Linked DNA regions of Mus musculus. The protein of the gene in region 1 interacts with the protein of each later gene in a pairwise test. Links are inferred from orthologs where the notes say so. Each region holds a gene or a part of one and is shown in the gene's direction. Other genes may lie near its edges. The genes, in order: Fhl2, Sp2, Saxo1, Dcp1a, Id3, Jup and Ccdc92.

Region 1 (3,500 bases):
GCTTCTTCAGAAACCTCCTATGACTTAAGATAGGGCGAGGATAAAGGCCTTCAGGGTCCCACGCCAGCAGATGCAGGTTCCAGAAAGCCTCTGCCTTTCTGCCTCTCTAGTTACTGTACAGGCTGAGCATGAGAGTAGAGCTGGAGAGGCCATCAGTTGCTGGGATTTGAAGGAAGGCTTCCACAGAGATTCATCCTTTTCTCTTCATCACTCCGACTTTGTAGACAGAACTGAGGTACTGAGGTCTCTAGCTACAGGATCTCAGGGCTGCTCAGAAGTAGCAGTCGATGCCTTCAATGTTATCTCTGACCACTGTGCTACCTTCCTATCTGGGATGGTGACAATGCCCCATGGCACTCATTCCTTCTGTTCCCCTGCACTACTGTGAAACCTAAAGACCCCACATCACTAGGGAGAAAGCCAGGAACCGTAGCAATGGTATGGATGATAACATGAGGTGCCTGGGGTATGAAGTTCCTTTTCTTTTCTCTTTTCTCTTCTCTTCTCTTCTCTTCTCTTCTCTTCTCTTCTCTTCTCTTCTCTTCTCTTCTCTTCTCTTCTCTTCTCTTCTCTTCTCTTCTCTTCTCTTCTCTTCTCTTCTCTCCTCTCCTCTCCTCTCCTCTCCTCTCCTCTCCTCTCCTCTCCTCTCCTCTCCTCTTCTCTTCTTTTTATTAGATAATTTCTTTATTTACATTTCAAATGTTATCCCTTTTCCTGGTTTCCACTCCGAAAACCCCCTATCCCCTCCCCCACTCACCAACCCTCCCACTCCCGCTTCCTGGTCCTGCCATCCCCCTACACTGGAGCATAGAGCCCTCACAGGACCAAGGGCCTCTCCTCCCACTGATGACTGACAAGGCCATCCTTTGCTACATATGTGGCTGGAGCCACAGGTCCCTCCATGTCGACTTTAACAAACTGCATATTTGTTGTGGGTGGGGCTCGTGTCTTACATCATTCATGGGCAACAGCAGTGACAGATGTTTACCAGAAACAGGGGTAGCCCTGACTCATACACTTGTCTCCCCCAGCCTATCACCACAGGAGGTGTTACTTACCGGGAGCAGCCCTGGCACAAGGAATGCTTTGTGTGCACAGCCTGCAAGAAGCAGCTATCTGGGCAACGCTTCACAGCACGGGATGAGTTTCCATACTGCCTGACCTGCTTCTGTGACTTGTACGCTAAGAAATGTGCTGGGTGCACCAACCCCATTAGTGGTAAGTGTCCTGGGAAGGCCATTGCCAGGGTAGAGACTGTCTGCTTCCTGGAACAACATGGACGTCTAGAGTGTTAGCATAAGAGTGTTGTTAATATCTTGAGGCTCTGAGCCCAACAAGCATTTTTGCCTCTGCTGTGTATCCTCAGAACACAGCTGGTGGCTTCCCCTTAAGCCTGGTGATGCAGAACCATTGGCATGTCATTGAGTGTTTCTGCTTGGGTCTGAGTCTATTATAGTCACATGAACAAAATGAATGGTGCATTTCAGCCCCAACAGCAGACCTGGTATTTGAAGTATTCATGTCATCTTAACGAGACTCTTCTAACCACAAACCACAGCTAGGTGGGGACACATTCTGAGTAGCACAGTCCCCAAAGAGTTAGACAAAGTGAGAGCCCAAAATGTGCCTGGTTGACAGACTAGTATTTGGGCTGAGCTATTGAGTATGGTGAAGATATTGAAGGTAAAGACTACTGGCTCCAGACTAAAGCCCTTTGATTTTTCACCATGTACCAATCAGTGGCAGGGGGTGAGAGTGCAAGTATTCTGTCATATATAGGAGTGTTTCTTGAAGTGGTCTTTCCAATCCCATTCATTCAGTCTACCTGTTTTTGTTTGTTCTTCGTTGCTCTGATAAACACCATGATTAAAAGCAACATGTGAAGGAAAGGATTTCTTTTGTCTTACTGTTTATACTCCATCATGAAGACAAAAGGGGCAGGAACCTGGAGGCAGGAATCCAAGCAGAGCCATAGAGGAGTGCTGCTTACTGGCTTGCTCTTCATGTCTTGCTCAACATGCTTGTTTGTATAGCCCAGGACCACTGTCTGGGGTCACACTCTCCACATTGGGCTTGCCCCTCCCATGTCAATCATTAATCAAGAAAATGCCTGACAGACTACTTGGCTACTGGAAGAGGTTCCCTCTTCCCAGACAATTCTAGGTTGTATAGAGTTGACAAAAAGCTAACCAGCCCACATTGCATCATCCCTGATGCACTGTCAGTAGACATATGTGGCAGGAAGCAGAGAGACACAGACTTTCCCCTATAGCTTTGTAGGTAGGGTCTTTCTTTATACAGACACGCTTGCAGACCATTGTGTACCTTGCCTAGAACCAAGTTGTCTTGTTCCTATGGGACTTCCCAGCTGGCAGGCCTTGGTTCATGCTTTATTTGCATGTAAAATTAAAATATACAAAATAGATAAATTTTGTTGAGACATCTGATTCTAGCGACTTAGATACTGTATTTCCTTTGAAATTAGTTTGGGAGGACAATGGGACATTTTCAGTGGCCTGCCCATCTTTGAAGCTGTTTTCCTAGCTTCTGCTAAGGAAATGTCTCCAACACTTTATAATTTATGGAAACGTAGTATGAATGTGAAGTACTTTATATTAGACATGGATGTCTGCTGCAGTTATAGAATTTGGGGAAAAGGTTAGAAGAACCAGAATTCTTCCTTTAAAACAGCAGAATTAATGCTCTGAAAAGCAATGATTGATTTTCAAGAACATATAGAAGAACTTTGAAACTGCAAACTAGAATGTACTCTTAGCTGTATTTCCAAACACTTATACATACCGAGCTTCGATGAGGTTTCTAATAGATCCTTAGTACTTTTTCTCTTCAACACAATTTATACTGCTTTTACGAATAATTGGAAAACACTAATTTAAAATTTTCTATGTGCAGTGATGCTTACTTCTCATCCATAATTGACCACAGTATCGATCCATATAGGTATGCAACTTTAAATCAATACCCAGGTTGCTGGTAGTGACCCACAGATGTGCACAAAGCAGCAGTGGGTTTGAGTTCCCACGCATCTATGCTCTGGCTGACACTGGATAGATGAAGCTCTGCCCCTGTGTTCTAGCTCCCTTCTTCCTTTGTAGCCCTAGCTGTGCTGGGACTCACTCTGTAGTCCAGGCTGGTCTCGAACTCACAGAGATACCCTTCCTTCTGCCTCCTCAGTGCTGGGATTAAAGGCATGCACCACCACTGCCTGGCCTCTAGCTCCCTGCTTAAATAATGTGTCCCACAATGATGTGGGGATTGTTTTTGTCTTTTACATTTTTTGTGACTGGGGGGGCAGGGCATTTCCATGTAGTGCCCTTGAGTATAAGAAGGCAATGTGTCTTAACAGAGGAAACACGTTAGAGAAGGTGTTGACCAGTTTTAATGTCAGTGATTTTAAATTAAATTAAAATGTCTAATATTCAGAGAGAGGCATGCATAGAGTAACATCTTTGGTCATTTGAAACATAATAGAAGATTTT
Region 2 (4,052 bases), on another chromosome or scaffold:
CTTGATCCTCAGCAAATAAGACCCCAGCAGGGATGTATGTGTCTCATCTACCTGCGATCAATGTCTCTCAAATGTTGATTTGGGAAGCTTTGTTACATGTTCTTATAAGTTAATTTACTGGATGTAAAACATTTTTTTCTCACTGTGGGTTAAAACAACAAAACAAAACCAACCAGGAAGGGTGGTACTATGAGGTGGATGTGTGAGTGCTCTGGCTTCAACAAGAGTCTAAGGGTCCACTGCAGATGGGGTGTGGGGTTTCCTACCCACGCAGGTCTCAAGCCAGCGTGAATTCCCTCTGAGTGCTACGTACAGCTTGCCTAAGTTAGTCGTTCGCAGAGGGCCTGGAAGAGAAAGCTAAACCTACCTGTGGTGCCTGTCAAGCACGGCCCCTCATACAGGAGGAGATGAAGCAGAGACCAAGCAGGGTCGCTAGGATGCCAGCGTGCAATTCTGCCCACCTGAGGCGCAGGCTAAAATGCAGATTCTAGGCACACACACCCCGCCCCCCGGGAAATAGCAAATGTAACTAGGGACGACCCTAGGGATCTGCTTTTGATAAAGGCTCAAACACGCCTGTCTGAAGCTGAGAGGATCAGGGAAGCTCTGCGAAACATTGGTGAAGATTAACAGGGGCTTGAGATGACATAATGACAATTCCCTCTAGGAAGTGCCAGGTAACCCAACTCCTGCCAGGTCGTCGACTCTCGAGAGGCGATGGATGGCGGGCGAGGGCCTGAGGTGAAGGCGATGCGCTCACTGGGGGCCGGGCACCGCGTATCCGACAGCTACACTTGAGACTCACCATGCCAGACTGTATTGAGAGATGTATAAGCTCTTTACGGGGCATTTCACAGTAGCACTTCTGATTGGCTTTAGGGCAGATCTATCACTTATCTGCTGGGTTAGAGGTGGGTGGAAGGTCAATTACGACCAATACAAAAACACTTCTCGGCTAAGCCCCTCCTCACCCAGCTTCCTGTTGCTGTCCATCAACCTCCTAGCAGGCGGGACTTTGCCTCCCGCCAGTTGGCTAAAGGATACGTCGTTCATTCCCCCGTTGATTTCCGGTTGGCGACTCCTACCGTCTATCAATGACACTTCACAGTTCTATTGGCCAGACCAACGTCACTCTAGATGCTTCCCAATGATTGGTTGAAAATGCTGTCGGTCCCCAATGTACCAAGCGTTCATTGGTAAAAGCTGCCGTCGCTCGGGCGGTGGCGGGCTCCGGGATTGGCGGGTGCTAGGCGGGCGGTGTCAGGCTCTCGGTGGCGGCGGAGGCGGCGGAGGCCAGGGAGGAAGATGTCGTAATGAGCGGTGGGTCCTGGCGTCTGCCGGCGGCGTCTTCCCGGCCCTCAAGGGTCGGGAAGACGGACAGAGGCCTCGGGGAGGGGAGGCCGGAACCGGGGGTGCCCCCCTGGGACTGGGACTGGCGCCGGGGCCCGGCTACGGGAGGGGCGGGGGAGGAAGGATTCCCGCCCGGAGGAGGAGCGCGGCTGGCCGGCCGGGCGGAGGCACCCGGAAGGGGGCGTTAGACTCCCCGCCCCTCGGAGCCCCGGGCGGGAGGGCGGCGCTTCCGGGGCTGGCAGGCGGCGGGGGCAGCAGGGCGAGCCTGATAACCCCCTTCGCCCCCTCAGCTTGGGTCGCGCCGGGCCTTCAGCCTGCGCCCGAGTTTGCTCCACGCAGGCGGCCGACGCCCCCTCGGGCTCGTCCTGTGGGCAGCCCAGGCTTGGGACCCAGGTGGTGCCAGTCAGATGGGCCCTGCTGGTCTGAACTGCAGCCTGCTGGCCGGGCCACCGCAGTCCCAGAGGGTGGCAGGATTGGAGGGAACGCCCTAGGCAGATGACTGCTGAACGAAAAACCGACTTTTAATGTTTATACCTGGATCCTTGAGCCTGCGGCTAGTATCTGCAAGCTCTTGGAATTTTAGAAGTTTGGAGAACTTGTGGACAGAGCTCCCAGGCTATGGCCCGATGCCCCTTGCGGGGGGTGGGGGGGTTGGGCAAAAATGCACTGGAATTCCAAAAAAGCGTAGGCGCTATCGCTCGTAACAGATGACCTAAGAAATAAAATAGATGCTTTTCTTCATCCGCGTTGCTGGCTTAAGGGTGCTCAGAATCTTCCCTTCCTTCTTAGGTTTCTTTCCCAGTGCCTTATTCTAGTTTTAGTAGAAAAGGAACTGTCTTTTGCGCTGGGCGACTGAGAAACCTGTCCTCTCTACATTCCTTGGTTTTGATTCTAATAGCCTGTCATGTTTAATCGTTTCATAACTAACATGATCCAGGGGGACTCTGTTTGGTTTTTTCTCCTGAACTTTCCCCATTTTTAGGAGGTTACAGGATTATTACATATCAAAATAAAAGTTTGGGCCTGTAGAGGCCTGTCAACGAGGAGAGAGGCAGACCATAGCCAGTGGTCTGTGAGCCAGGAATTGGCCCAAGGGTCCCCTTTATACAGATTTCATTGTAGAAAGGCGATTAACTTTTCAGTGTGTACTGGCAGGAACAGGCTACAGCTGTTCCATGCTGTGCCCTAGAAGGCCCTTGGCATTACAGAGGACAAAACCCTGAGTTGAGACACCCCCCCCCCACCCCCCTGTGGTGATGAAGGTTGAATCCACAAATGTTGGACAAGCACCTCTACGGCTGAGCTGTCTTGGAGGGCTAGAAAGGTTAGGGTGAGCCAGCTCACAGTGAACTGGCACAGGGGATGACAAGAGCCCAGACCACACAGTAGCATTTTCCATTATTGACACAAAGAAGTCCATTGTCTGTAGCGATGAGTATAACTGCAGTGTCTTGTTTTCTTTTAAATTCTTAAGGACAATGAACAGCGCGGATCTCAGAACCTCCCAATAGGGCTTATGTCAGTGTTGCAGTGGTTTCTTATTTAGGTGGTAGGGTGTTGGAGCCTGGTCTTGCTGTGAAGCCCTGGCTGGCGTGTGTTTGTCCTGTGATCTGTGTAGGCCTTGAACTTGAGATCTCTATGCTCCAGCCTCAGCCTCCCAAGTGCCGAGGTTATGGGTGTGTACCAATTTGCTTGGTTTCTAGTGACCAGGCAGACGTCAATCAATACCAGTGACCATGAGTTATCTTTGGCTGAAGTGACGGATGAGCTGTCTAGTTCCAGTCCTCCTACTTGCCTCTTTGAGTAAAATCAACAGCCATTGGGAAAAATAAGCTGCTCTGACACCATTGTGAGCTCCGCAAGCTAGGCTGCTAAAGACACAGGCTCTTTGCCAAAGAAAACTAACTAGGATTTGTCCATAACCGGATCTTCCCCTGGGCACCCAGCTGCTCTGAGGGGAAGAGTTTGACATCCCTGCTGATACTACATAGATGACCTCTACTTAGATTTGATTTAAACATTGGGCCAGGATCACTGAGAAGGCCCAGTGGGTAAAGACACTTGTTGCCAAGTCTGATTACCTGAGGCCTTGTGTCTCACCTGGAAGGAAAGAAACAACTTCAATACTTTTGTACACAAAGACACATACACACAGGGAGGGAGGGAGCACAAAACCAATACATGAATTAGAAGATATCAAAAAATGTGGGCCTGTGGAGGCCTGTCAAAGGGAAGAGAAGCAGTAAAAAAGATTACACGGCAGATGTTTGGGTAAAAAGCCCATCCATGCCGGGCGTGGTGGCGCACGCCTTTAATCCCAGGAGGCAGAGGCAGGTGGATTTCTGAGTTGGAGGCCAGCTTGGTCTATAAAATGAGTTCCAGGACAGCCAGGGCTACAGAGAAACCCTGTCTCGAAAAACCAAAAAAAAAAAAAAAGCCTATCCATTCCAGCAGGTAGAGAAGTTAGTATTTTGGTCTTGACTATCTTAGTTCTTCTAAGTGGTTAAGTGTTTTGGAGAAGTTATAATCCCTTGTAGCAAGCAGTGTCAAGTCTGACCGTTGACGCATATGTGGCAATCCCCAAGCTTTCTTTAAGCAAGTGTTGCCCAACCATGGCCCTTAGAACGACTTTTAAAGTTTCTTGCAGCCAGCTAGTAGACTCTAGCAGTTTTCTAGACCCTGAGCACTCCACTGCTGTAAAA
Region 3 (3,977 bases), on another chromosome or scaffold:
TAAAATAAAATAAAATAAAATAAAATAAATAAAAGCAACAAAAAGAAACAGTAATGTTTAAGTCCAAACATTCTCCTATAGTAGTAGACTGTATGGTATGCTACCGCACTTCTTTTGCTTGCTTTTGAGAAAGGGAGAGCCATGTAGCCCAGAACTTGCCTCCTTGCCCCAGATGCTGGAATTCTAGACTTGTGCTGCCACACCCAGCTCGAGAGCAGAGGCCCTTGACTTTGTTTTATTGTCAGAGTAAGCTGCTATCTTGTGAAAACACAATTCCCAGAATAGTTGTTTTCACTGCTTTGAAATAGAGTGAAGTCTCACTTTGTAGCCCAGGCTGGCCTTGACCTTGCAGCAACCCTCCTGCCTCAGTCTGTGCCGGGATCACAGGCTGAAGCCATCATGTGCTCTGACTGGTGGTTATTTGATACAGGAGATTCCAGGGCAGAGGTCTGCAGTGGTTTTCAGGACCGGCTTAGATATTAGGGAAGAGAGGTCAGAGGCCACAATAGAAGCTCCATAGCTGCGCTCCTTGAAGTGTGGGCTCTGGGCCAGCATCAGTAGCATCATTAAAAACTTGTAAGAGACACGTGTTTTCTGGAACCCATATTTCAGAAACAACAAACTCAGGGTGGGGTCTGGCAATCTGATTTTTGTCAAGCCTTGAGGTTCTGATGCTGCTAACATTTGAGACGTCCCTGCTTCTAGGCGTCATTACCTGAGCAATAGAGGGCTGGACCCTCTCATGCTGCTTTGTTCTCAAAAGCAGAGGCCTGTGGTTGAAAGCAATTCCAAGATGCAGGCAGCCAGGTATAGATTTTCCAGGAAGATCTGGAGATGGAATTCAGGGTCAATATTCTGGAGGTCCGGGCATGCATTTCCTCCAGACGGACAATGTGTCCTAGGGATGGAAAGTGCCACCCGACAAGATACTTTTCATTGTCTTTGCATTATGTGACCGTGCTGTTGGTTAACTCTGGGACTCGGAGGCTTCCTAAAGCCCTCCAAGGTATCTTCCATCTTCCTTCCAAGTTCCAGTGGGAGAGTCCCTGTCTTGGGTCTGCCAGGTGAGATACTAGGTGAAGTCTGACCTCACAGGAGGCCCTTATGATGTCATTGCCACCTCAAGATGCCCTCCTCTGTGACTTTGAAGGTCATAGAGGACTCAGTCCTGGGCCCTGTGGCTTGCAGGGGCCAGGCTGTGCTGGCAGGTGGGTGCTTCCCACTGGCCGCAGTGGCAGCAGCTTACAGACGTGAGCCGGCCTGGCTTGCTGTCTGTGCTAAGTGCTGCCTGTTTGCCCAAGGCCAGCCTCAGGAAAGGAATAGACTACAGAATTTTGCAAAAGGGCCACCTAAGTTTCCTTCTGAGCAAAACAGCATCGGTCAAGGCACCGAAGAAGTGTGATCGTTGTCCCAGGCAGCTGGGATCCTCTAGGCGATTGCCTTAGTGGAAAGTCCGAGGTGAAGGATGGGGAAGAGGACTTGCATCTGCAACCTGTGCTCCTGCGGGTAAGGTAGTCCTCCCAAGGGCAATCTGGGGAGGGGAGCCTGATTTTCACACTCCCTAGGGTGCCAAGCCCCTTTCCTGGAACGAAGACAGGATGTGTCTTCTTCATCCCGCTGCTTCGCTAGGCAGCATCGCACTGGATTCGGGTTTTAAACTGCAACATTGTTGACTAATATTTGATGCACACATGTCGAATCAGCGCTGATCAGGTAGTGTGTGTGTGTGTGTGTGTGTGTGTGTGTGTGTGTGCGCGTGTGTGTTTTCTGCAGGGTAGAGATTCAGGCACTTTGAGAGTGGGCTGGGCCCAGCCTTGTCTACATGCTGTTAAGACATGATGGAAACCCTGGACAGGCTGGGGCCGGTCTTGTTTCTTCTGTTGCAATTGTTAGAACAATAGTTCTTTTGTGTGGGTGAGTTTCTCACTTACAGAAATTGGTACTTTGGGAGCCATAGTGCACGGGCACCAACTGTTGCAGTGTTGAAATAAATAGCTAATCCAGGGGCGAGTTCGCTGTAGTTTTTGGGCAGGATGCCTTTCTGCCCCTTGTCTTCAGGGCCATGATGGTGCAAAGCACAGTGAAGGCAGGGTTTTGGAGAGGAACGTTGGGCTGCGGTCTCTGAGATGGTCCTTCTGGCTGCTTTGCCAGGACAGCTAGGGAACTGCAGGGCTGTGCCAGCCAGGGGATAGCAGAAGGGGCAGTACATAAACTTGCTTCCCAGGCTTCTGGCTAAGACCAAGTGAAAGGAGTGGCCTCGGGGACTAGCCCTCTGGGGTTGTCACTAAATGTGGGATCTGGGCTAGGAACCGAACGTCTCCCCATTCAAATTTCCCTAGGAATACTCTCCTCACAGGACTATTACAAGTGAAGGGATAGGGTGTATGTCTATGCACATGGATTCTATCTATTCTGTTAATACCCTAAGATCTGCAAAGGATTTTACAGCTACATATGTTACATGAAATAACAAAATTATTGTATTTGGGAGAATAGGTTAAGAGGACACTCTGAAAACAGAAGACTTTGAATTCTCAGGAATCAGTGCTCATTAGAGTGGACTGGGAACTTTAAAATAGGTGTCATTGCTCCAGCTGTTCATGAGCAATCTCTAAGGACAGTCCCATCAGCAGACTCCAGATAGATACTGCCATTTCCCAGAATTCTGAGCTCTGCTACCTACAAGTGTGGCTCTTGTTTTCGAGGTTTGTCAGGTGGGACCAGCCAGTGTCCAGGGCTAATTTTTCATACTACCGAACATTCAGTTTGTTTTTTTTTTCTAAGACTTTGCTTCCTTGTGGGGCCTTTTGCATCACTCCTGGCTCCATCTCTGCTCTCAGAAGAGTGGGGTTGAAGTCTTTGAGTCCCATCTTTGCACAGTATGTAGTCTAGGAAGACGGGGACTCATCAGGGGTGAGGAACGTAGAGTCAGATGACACCTCCATTCCTATCTGATGTCCTCAGATTCTCTTTTTCCCCCACCCTGCAAAGTTGCTCCTTCCACTGGATATAAAGTCTTTCTGGCATGCCTTCCTTGCCTCCCCCTCCTGTGTCTACTTTACGGTTCTGTCACGTGCCTTGGGTCTGACTCTCATGTTGGTCAGTCTTCCCTCCTGCCTGCTTAGTCTATTTTAGTTTTTTTTTTTTTCCTGTGATTTTGATGGGGCATCTCAGAGTTCAAAGCAAACTTTTTGGTCTCCACTCATGGTTCCTTTGTCTTGCTTTTTTCCCCTTTTTGAAAATGCGTCTACCTTCTTCTGCCTCCTAACCTTTTAAGATCTTGCTCATGTTATAAGACTCCCGTCTGGCTCAGTCCTATAGACCCCACCTAGTACAGAGGTAGGACCCCACTTCCTATGGTCTTTTAGCTATGTGTATGCCAGCTTCATATCTAGTGATGGTGTGCTCTGGAACAGCCAAGCTCTGTTTTTGTATGCTTTGTGATACTGACCTGTTGAGTAGTCAGAACACACCTTTGTAGGATGGTGGTGGGATCTGTGGAGTCCGTTAGGGACATACAATCTGGAGTGGTGCTGTCTCCAGTGCTTGCCACATGATGCCATTTTACTTCAGTGAATTACAATTGAGGGCTTCCCCAACTTCCTCCAGCCACTTGAGGGCTGGAGAACTATTTTAGTAGCTAAGAGCATTGTCTGCTCTTCCAAAAGACCCCGGATCAGCCTGGCCTGGGACACACTGTGTATAACTGGGAACTTCTGTTTCTTCTGTTTCCATTTCCCAAGTCCTGGGATTAGAGGCCCATATTACTATTCCCAGCGTTTCTTTGGCTTTTGAGTTTTGTTATGTAGTCCAGGTTAGCCTTCAACTCATGATTCTCCTGCTTCAGCCCTGCTGCTGCCAGGATTGTAGGCATGTGTCACCATGGCTAGCTCCTTAAATATGATCTCACCTGTAGTACATGATACTCATCAGTGGGGGAAGGCCTCTATTTTTGGACATCAGTGGGAAGAGCAGCC
Region 4 (3,500 bases), on another chromosome or scaffold:
GGATGAACTACCACATGCACGTTTTAGTTCATTTTTTGTCACAGAATCTCTAGCCGTCTTGTTTCAGCATAAAGAATAGGTTTGGTTTTTGGCTTTTGGTTTTTTTTTAAACTACTGGGCATTCAGTAATCAGGAAGCTGAACCAGAATTGTTGAAGCTTCAAGGCCAGCCTGGCTTCATAGTAGAGCTGTGAAATAATTGTCACAGTTACATTTGTGATTATATTTTTTTATGTTTACAGTTATGTAAATTTTCCAGTTAGTACTTGAGAATAGTGGGATCTGGAGAATGTAAGACTATGAGGGAATGAGCCTTGTGAATTGATAGGATACTATTGTTGTTACTCCTGTAATTTATAAAGGGATTTGGATGTAGACTCACTGTAGGAGGATCTCTCTGAGTTTAAGGCCAATCCAGTCTACATAGTTCCAGGACAGCCCAAGCAGTGTGGAAAGACCTTGTCTCATAATACCAAACACACACACACACACACACACACACACACACACACACACGCGCGCGCGCGCGCGCTCCAGGTTCAGAATCTCACTCTAAATATAAGGCCATAGCAAAAAGGGATAAAAAATATATTCTTTATGCATGTGCATATGCTAGGTAAGAGTTCTACCACTAAACCACTTCCCCAACTTCTTTTTTTTATTATTATTAAAGTTTTATTTACTTAATTTATATGAGTACACTGTCGCTGTCTTCAGACATACCAAAGAGGGCATCAGATTCCATTACAGATGGCTGTGAGCCACCATGTGGTTGCTGGGAATTGAGCTCAGGACCTCTAGAAGAGCAGCCAGTGCTCTTAACTAAGCTGAGCCATCGCTCCAGCTCCCACACACACAAACACACCTCTAAATTCAGTGTAAATGTCTTCCTTTTTCCTCAGGATTCTGTAATTTGAGGGTGTAGGGGAGTCATGACTGAGTACTGAGTGGTTAAAGTTGCCTTAGGTGTTTAGGATCTGCAGTGCAGTGCTAACGTTCTATCAAGAACAATAAAAGTGAGCCACTTAGAGTTTGGTCCTCTCGCACTGGCATCATTTGCCAGTGTGTTACTAATGTGGACACTCGGTGTGGGTAACTTTGTTGTGTATAGCCCCAACCTTAGCCACATTCACCAGGGGAAACAGAGTAAATGCTAAAACTGTTCTCCGTACGGAACTTTGTCACTCTACAGACTTTGCTAGAAGGTGGTCTGAGCCCTGCTGCACCTCAGGTTGCTCCAGGCTGTTTTCATCCGCTGTCCTTGCTTCTCCATATGTGCACATGATGGAAAAGAATCCTAGTTACATTGGTTTCTGCGCCTCTCTTTGATTTTGTCACTTGCTTTTGTTTTTCAGTCTGCTCCGTCTGGTCATAAACATCTGACAGTAGAAGAGTTATTTGGAACCTCCTTGCCAAAGGAACAACCAACAGCTATGGGTCTAGAGTCAGAGGACACAGACAAGCTGCTGGGAGATGCATCACAGAAAGAGCCCAGCTCATTCCTCCCATTTCCCTTTGAGCAGTCAGGGGGAGCCCCTCAGTCTGAAAACCTGGGTATCCATTCTGCCGCTCACCACACAGTTCAGCCTGAAGTCAGCACCCCAGTGCTGATCACTCCCGCCTCCATTGCACAGTCGGGTGACAAACATCCCCCAAGCTACACACTCCCACTGAGCCCTGTCCTCAGCCCCACTCTGCCAGCTGAAGCTCCTACCACACAAGTTCCCCACTTACCTCGGAATAGCACCATGATACAAGCAGTAAAGACCACACCCAGGCAGAAATCTCCACTCCTGAACCAGCCAGTCCCTGAGCTAAGCCACAGCAGTCTGGTTGCTAGCCAGAGCCCCTTCAGAGCCCCGGTGAGCCTAGCAAACCCAGCTGGCACAGCCCTCCCAAGCGTTGATCTGCTTCAGAAACTCAGGTTGACCCCACAGCATGACCAAATACAAGCACAGCCGCTTGGAAAAGGAACCATGGCGCCCAGCTTTTCTTCGGCAGCTGGCCAACTGGCCACCCCTGAGAGCTTCATAGAGCCTTCTTCTAAGACAGCAGCAGCAAGAGCAGCAGTCTCAGCCTCCCTGAGCAACATGGTGCTTGCTCCAACCCTCCAGGTAAGACAGGAGCAGGAGGGCATAGAGAAACAAGACTACAGAGGCCTCAGCTTTAAGTGACATGAGACTTTGTGTGTGTGTGTGTGTGTGTGTGTGTGTGTGTGTGTGTGTGTGTGTGTGTGTGTGTGTATTTTGTGCAGCAGCCATACCCAACTAAAGATGATGTGTGTGTCTGTCTTGTCTGTCTATCTGTCTGTCTCCATGGTCTATAACTAAATTTGCTCTGTGGGGTGAGGGGGCCCTGTCTGTCTATCTGTGGTCTGTAACTGATCTTGGCATGTAGACTTGTACGCAGGTGTATATGCATGCGTGGGTTTCCAGGTTCTGTAGTAACTCAGATTTGCTGTGTAAACAGACCTGGAGGAATTTGCATTGGAAGGTGACTACATTGTAGTTAAGGAGTGTGAGTTATATTTCAGACCTTAGGAAGGCATTGAAAGGTTCTGAACGAAGAGTGACTTGTTGGTAATGTCAGAAACAGGAATCTGGCCACCTGTTCCAGGACAAGCTGTCAATCACTTTGCCTGAGCAGTAGGGGCCTGGGTTGAGCACTGTGGACAAGGAGATTTTTAAAGTATCCGGTCAGGGAGGCTTCGTGGTCGATTGGTAGAGAGGGTAAAGGAGAGGTTTGCCCTTCAATAGCAAGTTTACCAGGGAGAAAACGAGCAGAGTGTGATGATCACATGGCCACAGCTGGAAGGGAGTGGGGTGTGCTGCTCTGTGACTGCTGCCTGCCTGTCAGTATTTGGGTCTGACACAAGAAGGAAGGAATGATGTGCGCGCGGGCAGGGCCTGTGCTGTGTGTAGGTGTCACGGGCCAGGAGTGCTCTCGCTCCTCTTCCTTTGCTCTGATGGACTGACTGCAGGAAGAAACATATGAAGGGAGTTTGTTTGGGTTTCTGGTTGTGAGGGAAAGGGTTGCCCCACCTCTCAGTTGATCTGGAAGCTCAGGTAATGATCTGCACCTGCCTTCTCCATACTCAGCACTAGAAGACAGTGACGCTCCTGCATGCTGCTTGGCAGAAACCACTTACATATGTGTAAATACTCATTTACATGGCAATAGCTAATTTTAAGATCTTCTTGCCTGATATAGTGGCAAATGCCTTTAGTCTCAGTAGGCAATCTGTGATTTCAAGTCTAGCCTGGTCTACATAGCAAGCTCCAGGCTAGCCAGGACTATCCTTTCTCAAAACAAAAAAACCCTGGTCTGCATGGAGTTGTCTTGTGTTTACTGGGCAGCATTAATTCTTTCCCAAAGACCATGAGCATTCACACCTATAAAAACATAGTGAAGAAAGCTGAGGCAGAGGGGTCTCAAGTTAGAGACCAGCCTGAACAACCCAGGTCTCAAAACCAAACAACAAAAGGACCTTCTCTGTCTCTT
Region 5 (3,497 bases), on another chromosome or scaffold:
ATGTCCTTCCAATTATTGGAACTGTCCCAGCTCAGAGGTCCCATTGTCCTGTTGATCAGTGCCACACACTACTGAACACTTAATTGTTTCCTGTGTTAATCTTGTCCCCAGACATTGTGAGATTCTTGAGAGCAGGAGCCTCTGTTTCATGTGAAGCAACTCCATAAATATTTACCAGGCTGATTGATTAAGAAAGCAATCTCGTGGCTGCAAAACCCCACCTGTTCTCTCCCAAGATGGAAACCAGAATTTTGGAACTGCTGAGGCTTCGGGGTCTGGGAAGCAGAGCCAGGCAAAGAATAGAGTGCACTGTCCTTTTGCAATATGGGATTGCCTGCCTGCTGGCTGCTCTCCTGCTCTCTCAGATGGGTGGCTGGGGCTACTTCAGCAGGACGAGGAATAATCATGTCCAGGTGGCTGCCCTTCCACAACAGAAAGGGACAGACAACGCGGCGATGAAATTGTTATTGTTTTCTACAGAGTGTGCAAAGTGTGCAAAGGGAGGGAGGCTGTGCAGAACGAGGAAGCAAACGCTAGACAGCTGACCCATTTGGTTCTATGTATGCCCGTGGAGGGGACCTTCTAAAAGGGTTTATGCAGCAAGCACCCCCATATTTGAAACCTTGTCCAAAATCCTAATCAAATTCACTTCCAAAGCACAACCGGGCATACATTTAGTTCCTAAAGGAGTTCTCGGTGGAAACGGTCCATGCTTTTTCTTTCTCCGTGGAAAAGGACTGGGTCCAGACTGCTCTTATCCTCTTTCCCCTGGTGCTCAAATAAATAGTGTTCTCTGCTTAGACCTCCCTTTCCCTCCTTCTTCTGCAATCTCAGCGCCTAGCCCAAATCTGTTTTCTTCATTGTAACCTCAGCTTCACCGCAATTAATTTTTTCCCCCTCTGGTCACAAGATAATTCCTGACGCCAGTGAGTCTGGAGGTCAGACGAGCAGCAAATTGGGGAACAAGGCGGCACTAATTCCTTACAAGTTTCCCTTGAAAATTCTTGAGAGAGAGAGGAGAGAGAGATCTTTAGTTGTTCAAGGGATTTATGACCTCAGAGCTGTGGGTTCGAACCAGTATTGGGGGGAGGGGACCTCAGAGAACTTGGGCGCCTCCAGAAAAGGCATATTCTTAAAAGTTAATGGTTTTAAGTGATTTTTTTTTTTTTTTCAAATCTGTGCTGGCTCAAGAGCCCCGCCTCTCCTCGGTATCAGCGCTTCCTCATTCCTCGCATCCGAGGCTCCGCTGTCCTCGGCGTCAGACCAGCCTAAGGAAGCCTGTTAGCAATTTAAACCCACTGTGAACGCCCAGGACCGGGGAGGCGGTGCCCAGGGCGGGCGGGGGTGGACCCTTGGCGGTCTGTTTTGAATAAGGGGGTGTGTCCTAGAGAGGACTCTATAAGAGTCGGCCGCTGCAGGCGTGCGCGCACTGTTTGCTGCTTTAGGTGTCTCTTTTCCTCCCTCTCTATCTCTACTCTCCAACATGAAGGCGCTGAGCCCGGTGCGCGGCTGCTACGAGGCGGTGTGCTGCCTGTCGGAACGTAGCCTGGCCATTGCGCGAGGCCGCGGTAAGAGCCCGTCGACCGAGGAGCCTCTTAGCCTCTTGGACGACATGAACCACTGCTACTCGCGCCTGCGGGAACTGGTGCCGGGAGTCCCGCGAGGCACTCAGCTTAGCCAGGTGGAAATCCTGCAGCGTGTCATAGACTACATCCTCGACCTTCAGGTGGTCCTGGCAGAGCCGGCGCCTGGACCCCCGGACGGTCCGCATCTCCCGATCCAGGTGCGAGAGGGAGCCAGACCAGGCTGCTCTGAGCGTGCGGGCAGGGATGCTGCGGGTCTTCCCTATCGCGTCCCCGAGTCCCTTGGCTAACTCGTCTCCTAACCTTCTTTCACAGACAGCTGAGCTCACTCCGGAACTTGTGATCTCCAAGGACAAGAGGAGCTTTTGCCACTGACCCGGTCGTCCTGGCACCTCCCGGTAAGCTTTCTCCTGGCGCGGGCGAGGAGGGAGGCTTGCATGGGAAATCCTGCCTTTGACAGAACATTGTAAGGCTTAGGGTTCAGTCGGTTTAGGGAAAAAGCCAAGCCACTGAAAGGCAAAAGCCTTATCTATAATCAGTTAGAATAAACGACAGAACCTATGTCAATATCACGTGCATTCCTTAGACACGCTGTCCCTTCTCATCCCGGGTGGCCAGAGCCCAGGGCAAGTGGGCGCGCGGGTCGCACCAAATGAGCCTTGGAGTAAAGGAAGCCCTCCCCCCTTTCCACTAGTGTTATTTCTAAGCGGGAGGGGGAGTGGTGACTCCGCCTGTGGTCCTTTGGCGCCAACTGGGTGGAGGCAGTGTGGGGAGCGGAGTTATCAGCTGGAGGTAGAGACCGAGTTTCCTCCCTGGCGCCGGCCAGTCTGCGGCATCCTCCGCCTGGGCGCGCTCGGCGGAAACTGACGGCTCCCTCGCTCTTCTCTCCTCCCCCGCCCAGAACGCAGGTGCTGGCGCCCGTTCCGCTTGGGACCCTGGGACTCTGGGACCCTCTCTCCAGCCGGAAGCCTGAGGGCATGGATGAGCTTCGATCTTAACCCAGCCCTCTTCACTTACCCTGAACTCAACGCCTCGAGGCTGGACCTGGAGCCCGAGAGAAGGACTGAACTTGGGTGGCCTGAAGAGCTAGCACACGCTGGTCAGCAGCTGGGCAACGTCACTCTGTCCCCACCCTGACTCAAGTCTAAAAGACTGGCTTTTCCGAGAATGGGGTGTCGAGAGGGTGTGGGGGGATGCGAGTGGCTGCCCTGCGCACTCTGCCAAGGCAGCATAAGAGCTGTTCTTCTGGTTTCCTTGGAGAAAAGCTCTGCTGCCCTGATTATGAACTCTATAATAGAGTATATAGCTTTTGTACCTTTTTTACAGGAAGGTGACTTTCTGTAATCATGTGATGTATATTAAACTTTTTATAAAAGTTAACATTTTGCATAATAAACCATTTTTGAACACTTTGTGTATGACATCTTGCGCCACCTCCTAGGAGCTTGGGGCGGGCAGATTTGCATACCCTTTTAGGGACGAGAAAGTTCCCAGCTGAAGCTGAGGGCTAGGGTGGCTTGGTTAGTAGGAAGGGCTGGGGTTGGGAATCCCCAAAAACATTGGAGGTTGAAAGCAAGGATCTATGATCCTACTCTCAATTACAGGAGCCTCTCCTACAGCCGGCAAGTCTGAGACCGAATCTTTTTATTTCTTCAATTCCTTGAAACTTGGCAGCAGCTCTTAGATGGATGCCGCAAATGATTGGGCGAACCTTCCTGGCGGCTCGGGGTCAAGTGTGGGGATGAACTATTTCGTATTTAAATAAACTGCCTCCATTAACTTCATGCTTTCTGGTCTGCCTTCCCCCCAGACTTCCAAACTTGGAGAAAGGAACCCTGCGGGTGAGGTGGGGGGTATAGTGATTTGTACTTTAATCCCAGCACTCATGAGGCAGAGGCACACAATCTCTTGAGT
Region 6 (3,500 bases), on another chromosome or scaffold:
AAACTTAAAGTAGTTTTAATTTTTTTAAGTGTGTGAGTGTGTGCCGGCATGTATGTTATGTATATATACCAAGTGGGTGCAGTGCTTATGGTGGCAAGAAGAAGGTGCCAGAACCTCCTGGAACTGGAGTTAGATATGGCTGGGAGCCACCACGTAGGTGCTAGGAATGGACCCTGTGTCCTCTGCAGGAGCAGTATGTGCTCTTAATGGCAGAACCATTCCTCCAGCCCCTAATTCTTTTTTTAAAGACTGGAAATATAGCTCAGTGGTAAAGTGCTTGCTGAACAAATATGTGGCCCTACGTTTACTTCCTAGAACTGTACTTCAATAAATACATATTCTGCTGCAGACATTTTTGTAATGATAGGTGTCAGACATGAGTCTTTTAAAATCAAATCATGATCTTGGTTGTCATAGAGTTGGATGAGCTAGGAGGGCCTCATGCTCTCAATGGGATGATACAGACAAGGGCGATGATGGTCCCCTAAGACCCTGGTTAGGTTCAGAATCATGAGTGATGCCCTGTACTTTGGAGAAACATGAGGGAGCTTGGAGCCACACCTTCAAGGCTTGCCTTGCTCTTCAGGGTCCCAGTAAAATCTCCTGTAGCTCAGTCCTATGTCATTTGGCTTTCAGGTGACCTGGAATACCAGATGTCCACAACGGCCAGAGCCAAGCGGGTGCGGGAGGCCATGTGTCCAGGGGTCTCAGGCGAGGACAGTTCTCTACTGCTGGCCACCCAGGTGGAGGGGCAGACAACCAATCTGCAGCGCCTGGCCGAACCATCCCAGTTGCTCAAGTCGGCCATCGTCCATCTCATCAACTACCAGGATGATGCAGAGCTGGCCACCCGGGCTCTGCCTGAGCTCACCAAGCTGCTCAACGATGAGGACCCGGTCTGTGAAGGGCCTGGAGGTGGGGTGGGATGGAGCTGGCTGTCCTCAGAGGGAGGGGTCATCTAAGGATGCCACGGCCTTTGCCTTCCTTCCCTCTGTGGAGGAGGAGCCTGAGGCTATCTGCTCAAGGTCTCACACACTTCCTCCAGGTAGTGGTGACCAAGGCGGCTATGATCGTGAACCAGCTGTCCAAGAAGGAGGCATCCCGCCGGGCTCTAATGGGCTCGCCCCAGCTGGTGGCGGCGGTGGTGCGGACTATGCAGAACACCAGTGACCTGGATACTGCCCGGTGTACCACCAGCATCCTGCACAACCTCTCTCACCACCGAGAGGGCTTGCTCGCCATATTCAAGTCTGGAGGCATCCCTGCCCTAGTCCGAATGCTCAGGTACTTGTTTCTCGGCTGCATGGGAGCCAGGGGCCTCCCAGCATCCCGTTTCCTGGGCTTCCAATACAAGTTGTTACAAAGAATGGTTGAGAGTGTCCAAAGGCAGAGCTTTGACAACTCTGGGGGTGGAGCTTTGACAACTCTGGGGGTGGAGCTTTGACAACTCTGGGGGTGGAGCTTTGACAACTGAGTATACTTGGTCAGAGTAGATGAGGGGCAGGCTATCCTAGCAGGAGAGAACAGCATGGCTGACCCCCCCCCCCCCAGTTGTGCTTCCTCCTCACCCCGTGGCCTGGTACTGATGTAAATGGGAGTTCTTTGAGGGTAGAAGTTGATTTCACTCCCCTCTTATCCTCTCCCACAGCTTCTCCTGTATGACCTTACACACAGTAGTGACTCAGCTGCCCAGGGACCTAGCATGTAATTAGCACCGTGCGGAACCTCAGATGCGAGAGTAGAGAGAAGATGCACTGTGTGCCAATGTCTTTAAGAGTGGGGCTGGCTGGGCATAGTGGGGCTCTCCTTTAATCCCAGCCCTCAAGAGGTCGAGAGACATGCAGATGTCTATGAGTTCCAGGCCAACCTGATCTATACAGAGAGTTCTAGGATAGCCAGGGCTCCATAGTGAGAACCTGTGTCCAAAAAGAAAAAAGAAAGGAAGGGTGGGATTGGGTCTGGGGGTTGGCTCAGTCAATAGAGTGTTTGTTTACCTCTCCAGCACCCACATGAATATGCTAGATGCCATAAAGCGCTTTACTGGCAGTGGGGAAGCAGAAACCAGAAGCATCCCTGGGGCTTGCTGGCTGACCAGTTTAGCCTAATGGGTGCCAGGCCAGTAAGAGAGCCTGTGTCTAAAGAAGGGGACTGTGTTCCTAAGGTACACACCTGAGTTTGTCTTCTGGCCTCCATACACGTTCATTCACATACACACACACACACACACACACACACACACACACACACATGAGCAAAATTTAAAAAGCTTTGTGCTTAAGGAAGGATGAGATTTTGGTAAGGGTATATTTGCATGGGGGGTGTTGATTTAGGGTGAGCTCTCTGGATGTAGCAGGGACTCCTTCCAGACCCACATTCCGGCAACTGGCTCACACAGGTCCTCTCTGTTCCTCAGTTCCCCCGTAGAATCTGTCCTGTTCTACGCCATCACCACACTGCACAACCTGCTGCTCTATCAGGAGGGCGCCAAGATGGCGGTGCGTCTGGCAGACGGGCTGCAGAAGATGGTGCCCCTACTCAACAAGAACAACCCTAAGTTCCTGGCCATCACTACTGACTGCCTGCAGCTCCTGGCCTATGGCAACCAGGAGAGCAAGGTGGGTCCCTCCACCAAAGCCTACAGCAGCATCGTAGTGGCTTCTGGCCACTTCCGGAAAGGCATATTGATGTGTCTACACAGATGAATGTGTGTCTTACCCTAGTTCTGAATTCTTCAGAACTAATGATTTAAGGATGAGAAAAGAATTAGGGATCAGGGTATAACTCAGTGATAGAATAGAATGATGCTGAGTGTCATTGGATTCAGTCCTTAGAGATGAAAAGAGGGAAGGGGTCGGGGGTGGTGGCGCATGCCTTTAATCCCAGCACTTGGGAGGCAGATGCAGGCGGATTTCTGAGTTCGAGGCCAGCCTGGTCTACAAAGTGAGTTCCAGGACAGCCAAGGCTACACAGAGAAACCCTGTCTCGAAAAACCAAAAAAAAAAAAAAAAAAAAAGAGGGAAGGGTGGAAAGATGGCTTGGAGGCCAGAAAAGGGTAATAGATCCCCTAGAACTGAAATTACCGATTGTTATAAGCCACCATATGGGTGCTGGGAATCCAACCTAGGTTCTCTGGAAAAGCCACCAGTGCTCCTAACTCCTGAGCCGTCTCCAGCCCCCTGTGTATTTTAGACAGGTTCTAACTAACCCGGGCTAACCTGGAATCCTACATCTTCTTGTCTCGGTCTCCCAACTGCTGGTGTGCAACACCAGACCTGGCAGAGCTCAAAAGGTCTTTTGATTTTTATTTATTTACTTTTAAGCACGTCTAGACTTACTCCGTGGGTTAGCTCTCTTTCCAAAAGGACTACAGTTCATCACTGTCAGTGGTAGTGGCTGTGACTAGCTTTCCTTTGCTACATCCTTGCCAGCATTTGATATCATCGTCCTCACCCCCCAAACCCCCGAGTTTGTTGGCTTGATAGTCTCAAAAGCATTTACAG
Region 7 (4,282 bases), on another chromosome or scaffold:
CTCTAAAACTCCCGATCGGGCAGACGCATCCGGGAGACCGACTTGCCTGGAGTTTGGCTAGAAAGGTCTCACAAAGAAGCAGAGTTCAAGGAGAGCGGAGAACCTGGCTGGAGACGGCGGCCCGCGCCCTCTCCAGGGAAAGCCGGTGCGCCCGGAGGCGGCAGGGGGAGTTGCGCCCAGCCCTGGCCGGCTTACCTGCCAGTGAAAGCCGAGCCCTGGCGGTGGTCAGACAATGGAGGCGTCCGGCGGCAGCGGCAGCAACAGCAGCAGCCTGGCGCGCTGGGGACGCGGGGAGGTCCTCATCACCTGGGCGGGATGCTGAGCGGCCACGGCCGGGGGACCGTGCAGTGCTGGAGACACAACCCGACACAAGAGCCCTGCAGCGGGACCGCTCTACGACCCTCCGCCGCCCCCGCCCCCGGCCCCTGGGGCCCGCTCGCGCGGCCATTACCGCTCTCTCGGGACCCGCCTGGATGCGCTCCAGGGCGCGGCCCTCGGCTCCCAGAGCTGCCGCTCTCCCGCCCGCCTCGGCCCCGGACAACAATGGGGCCCCGGTCCGGGAGAGTCCAGCTCCCGCGGGGCCTCTTCTGCCTCATCCCGCGCCCGACCCGGGCCCTGCGCCGCAGCGGGCACCGCGCTGACCTTCCCTTCCCTCCTCGCCATGCCCGCGGCCCAGGCCCGGTTGAAGGATGGGTTGTTTTCCTTTTCCTGACTCCCCCGCTTCCCCCCGGGACTCTACCAGCCCGCCTTCCGCTCCCCCAGCCCCAGCCCGCTAGTCGGCCCCACGCCCCGGCCTGAAAAGCCGAGAGACTCAAACGCACCGACTCCGGTCGGCCGCTCCAACTCCCTCCCGAGCGTGGCCGAGGAGCGCGTCCAGGCCTCGGACTCCGCGCGCGCCCACCCCGGGCCGCCCTCTCTCTCTCCTTCCGAGGGAGACACCTCACAGGTGCGTCTCCGAGCCGCGCGCGCGCGCTCCGCACACCCAGACGCCTCCGGGAGGATGGGGGTGGTGGGAGGGGAAAGACGGCGCGCGTGCGCACGCGCCAGGCCGGCCAGCCCCATTCCCTCCCATGGGAGGGGCGGGGAGAAGGAGGAGGGCATCGCACGCATGCGTCCCGGGGCGTCTCAAAGTCCCCGCCCACACACGCACGCACGCGCGTTCCCGCTCCGGGTCCTCCACCCCTCCTCCTTGTCCCCGCCCCACCCCGCCCTGGTTACCCCGGGCAACCGCAGTGCGGCCGCACCTGAGCAGTGCGCTTGCGTGTTGCTAACTAACATCCCTTTTTTTTTTTTTTTTTTCCCTTTCCCTTCATCCTTGCCTTTGCCTTTGCCCTGCCGCAGCCGCAGGGAGTGGCGCGTCGTCCCCTTTCCCCTCCGCAGAAAGAGCATCGATCCGCCCGGGTCCTCCCCTCCCATCACTAGCAGACCGCCGCCGTGTCGGCGCCGCACCGTCTCCTCAGACATCCTCCTGTGCGAGGACTAGTCGGGTAGCCAACGGCTCCCGGCGTGCACCGCGGCGAGCGCTCGGAGGGAGCGGACGGGATGCGACGACCGGGCGGCGTCTCTTGAGTCTCCGTGCCCCCCGCGGCAGGGCCGCCGCGCACCCGGCTCCCACCGTCCCTGCCCATGGGCCGCGGGCCACCGCGAGAAGCAGGCCGAGCGCCGCAGCCGCCTGAGGGACCCTGGCAGGTGAGGCGCGCAGCCTGCGCACGTCCAGAATCCTTGAGCTTCGCTCGCGGGGGGCTCGGAGCCAGGCTGCGCACCGGCGCGGCGGGGGAGGCGCGGCGCAACGGCTGCAACCGCCGGCCCGGGCCGGGTACGAGCCGCATTGCGGGTGCGGGGCAGCGCCCCGGGGTCCGGCCCCAAGCCGGCGGGATGCTGCGGGCCTCAGCCGCCTGCCCGCGTCACACCTGCCGCCTCCCGGACCTGCAGCTCTGGCGACCGGGTGGCTCCGCGTAAGTACTCTTTGCCCTGAGCTCCCGGGACCCGCGGACGCGCACGCTGGCCACGCTCGCAGGTAGCGGGCAGCACCCCTGGTTGCGGTTCCCTCGGGCTGGATCCGGCCCTGCGGGCTAAGAGTGTCAAAACCTCAAGTATCTTTAGCTGCACGGTCTAGTTCACTGATGACAGAGAGGTGCCACTGATGACAGAGGGGAGCCGGGAGAGGAAAATGTGACCGTGCTCTGTGACAGGTGGCACCGGTCGGTTTCATAACAAAGTACAGGCTTGCAGACACCTTTTAGGAGTGTTAAAAGCAGCCGGGCGTGATGGCGCACGCCTTAAAATTTCAGCTCTCCAGAGACAGAAGCAGGTGGATCTCCGAGTTGGAGGATAGAGAATTCCAGACAAGCCCAAGGCTACATGGTGAGATCCTGTGTCAAAGGAAGGAAGGGAAGAAAGAAAGTTAGTTAAAATCAGGATCGCAGACAGACTAAGTTTGAAATTAATTTAAATAGCATTGGTATTATTTTATTTGCACAGCCAAGAATTCCCTGGCATTCTATCGCCATTGAATTGTAAGGCTTTTCAGATGCTAGAGTTCCAAGTGACTTTCACCTCCAGTTTTTCATGTTTTCCCTTTGGCTAACTGTTCACCAAAATGGCTGAATATTCTAATCCGTTTTGAAGAAAAGCTTTAAGACTTGTGCTTCTTTATTTTGTATGTGTATATATGTGTACCACTACTGAAAAGCCTTAAAACAGTTTGGATTACTCCTCTGTAGCATAATGACCCAGTTTTGTTAGATTTTTCTGTTTGGATCTGAAGTGTGGAAGGATGTGGGATGTAGGGCTCTACTGAGCTCTAGCCCCAGCCCTGGTTTAGCTATATTTTAAAGTATAGAACAATGACCTGAATGGGCCAGAATTTTTCTGTTAACACACTTAAACATCTCAAATTGGTGTTTTGAAAATTAGACATTTTTTTAAACGTTGAATCTTTTCAAAGAAACACATGAATCCTTTGTTTAGAGCAGCTCACTCATTCTGGGTTCTTAACTCTCATCTGTCCTATGTTGGAAAATCGATTTTAACCTCGTTATCTAATTGTCAGGATGTGTTTGCAGCAGGACTGACGTTAATTATGATGTCGATGCTTTTAAGAAATACTTATAAAGCATTCTCTCGTATTTCTGGCAAGAAGACATGCAGAGCTTTTTTTCTTTTTTCCTTATCTAAAACAAGGTCAGCCATAAATAGATTCTAATGCATACTGGGTGACACATTTATTAACTAAGATTAACTAGCTCCTGAACTTCATATACCACTGAGGGCAGTGGTAAGGCACCCTGCAGTACTGAACATACAGAGGCAAGTTCCAGACCAGCTAGGAAGGCTCTGATGGTTCATCCTGTAGACGCATTTGGCAGGGACAGAAAGACCTGTGTCCTAATGGTCTTCAGACATTTGAAGGTCTGCCATGCAGGAGGGATTTTATTGCCTTAGAGTAATTCCCAGCAAGGAAGAGGACACTGAGTACTTAGGGGAAGACAGCGTCCCTGGTGGTGATGTAAAGCAGAATTACGATCAGAACTTGAGCAGCGAGAAGAAGGGGCAGCTCTTCCCTCGGGCTCCCTCCCAGGGCAGCTTGAGTGAAGACTAGAAGGGCTGGAAGGGCACAGGTCTGATTGAGGGTCTCCTGGGGTTCTGGTGGCCACTGGATTCCAGGACTTAGTTTCCCTTCTAGCTCTGTGGGAGTTTGTTGTTATGTGTTGCAGCTGCCAGCTTCTACAGCTGTGGGCATGTTGACATCCCCAGACACCTACTTGAATCCTGGGAAGATAGGAACTGGCTTATTTGCTTGGTGTCAGAGCTAACTTGAACCCCATTTTGCCTGGTTTGGGGGAGCTTCGAGATAATAAATCACTCCCACTGTCAGTGTGATGTTTGAAATGTATTAGATACTTTTTCCTCTGGCTTTTCTGGAATGACCATCTAGTCAAGATAATTGCCTTTTCTAGGAAGGAAGTAGGAAATCATTCTTGCTAAAAATGAGGTAGTACCCGTTTTCTGGGAGTCAGCAGGTTGTAAAAGTGTGCTTTCCTGAGCTAAGGACATTACAGATGGTAAAGACATGACTTTTGTGCTGGCTCAGCATCCTACTTTCTATTTATTTCATTACTCAAATATGACTCAAGTTTCACAGCAAAACAGTCAAGTCATACCTACCTAAAGTAGTTGTATTCAGTGTTTTCTGGATGGTTTCTAAATATATATCCAGGAAGTAAAACAAAACTATAAAGTAGGGTCACGGTGAAATGAAGAGAGGACGAAAAGGACTGTC

Evidence for each region.
Region 2: the proteins of Fhl2 (region 1) and Sp2 interact in binary tests that used the Homo sapiens proteins (3 or more experiments, as listed by UniProt). The two-hybrid records come from large-scale screens. The link is inferred for Mus musculus from reciprocal best matches to the Homo sapiens genes FHL2 and SP2.
Region 3: the proteins of Fhl2 (region 1) and Saxo1 interact in binary tests that used the Homo sapiens proteins (3 or more experiments, as listed by UniProt). The two-hybrid records come from large-scale screens. The link is inferred for Mus musculus from reciprocal best matches to the Homo sapiens genes FHL2 and SAXO1.
Region 4: the proteins of Fhl2 (region 1) and Dcp1a interact in binary tests that used the Homo sapiens proteins (3 or more experiments, as listed by UniProt). The two-hybrid records come from large-scale screens. The link is inferred for Mus musculus from reciprocal best matches to the Homo sapiens genes FHL2 and DCP1A.
Region 5: the proteins of Fhl2 (region 1) and Id3 interact in binary tests that used the Homo sapiens proteins (3 or more experiments, as listed by UniProt). The link is inferred for Mus musculus from reciprocal best matches to the Homo sapiens genes FHL2 and ID3.
Region 6: the proteins of Fhl2 (region 1) and Jup interact in binary tests that used the Homo sapiens proteins (3 or more experiments, as listed by UniProt). The two-hybrid records come from large-scale screens. The link is inferred for Mus musculus from reciprocal best matches to the Homo sapiens genes FHL2 and JUP.
Region 7: the proteins of Fhl2 (region 1) and Ccdc92 interact in binary tests that used the Homo sapiens proteins (3 or more experiments, as listed by UniProt). The two-hybrid records come from large-scale screens. The link is inferred for Mus musculus from reciprocal best matches to the Homo sapiens genes FHL2 and CCDC92.

The regions. Positions count from the first base shown.
Region 1 is NC_000067.6:43,125,962-43,129,461, reverse strand, and holds part of Fhl2 (four and a half LIM domains protein 2), read left to right. Parts: intron 1-1,031; coding exon 1,032-1,218; intron 1,219-3,500. UniProt on the Homo sapiens protein: May function as a molecular transmitter linking various signaling pathways to transcriptional regulation. Negatively regulates the transcriptional repressor E4F1 and may function in cell growth.
Region 2 is NC_000077.6:96,974,889-96,978,940, reverse strand, and holds the start of Sp2 (transcription factor Sp2), read left to right. Parts: upstream 1-1,252; 5' UTR 1,253-1,313; coding exon 1,314-1,320; intron 1,321-4,052. UniProt on the Homo sapiens protein: Binds to GC box promoters elements and selectively activates mRNA synthesis from genes that contain functional recognition sites.
Region 3 is NC_000070.6:86,555,504-86,559,480, reverse strand, and holds the start of Saxo1 (stabilizer of axonemal microtubules 1), read left to right. Parts: upstream 1-1,177; 5' UTR 1,178-1,465; coding exon 1,466-1,506; intron 1,507-3,977. UniProt on the Homo sapiens protein: May play a role in the regulation of cilium length. Stabilizes microtubules at low temperature.
Region 4 is NC_000080.6:30,517,565-30,521,064, forward strand, and holds part of Dcp1a (mRNA-decapping enzyme 1A), read left to right. Parts: intron 1-1,354; coding exon 1,355-2,113; intron 2,114-3,500. UniProt on the Homo sapiens protein: Necessary for the degradation of mRNAs, both in normal mRNA turnover and in nonsense-mediated mRNA decay. Removes the 7-methyl guanine cap structure from mRNA molecules, yielding a 5'-phosphorylated mRNA fragment and 7m-GDP.
Region 5 is NC_000070.6:136,142,396-136,145,892, forward strand, and holds Id3 (DNA-binding protein inhibitor ID-3), read left to right. Parts: upstream 1-1,426; 5' UTR 1,427-1,483; coding exon 1,484-1,783; intron 1,784-1,898; coding exon 1,899-1,958; 3' UTR 1,959-1,981; intron 1,982-2,484; 3' UTR 2,485-2,997; downstream 2,998-3,497. UniProt on the Homo sapiens protein: Transcriptional regulator (lacking a basic DNA binding domain) which negatively regulates the basic helix-loop-helix (bHLH) transcription factors by forming heterodimers and inhibiting their DNA binding and transcriptional activity.
Region 6 is NC_000077.6:100,380,791-100,384,290, reverse strand, and holds part of Jup (junction plakoglobin), read left to right. Parts: intron 1-636; coding exon 637-896; intron 897-1,045; coding exon 1,046-1,284; intron 1,285-2,413; coding exon 2,414-2,615; intron 2,616-3,500. UniProt on the Homo sapiens protein: Common junctional plaque protein. The membrane-associated plaques are architectural elements in an important strategic position to influence the arrangement and function of both the cytoskeleton and the cells within the tissue.
Region 7 is NC_000071.6:124,859,422-124,863,703, reverse strand, and holds the start of Ccdc92 (coiled-coil domain-containing protein 92), read left to right. Parts: upstream 1-1,482; 5' UTR 1,483-1,689; exon of another isoform or gene 1,690-1,955; intron 1,956-4,282.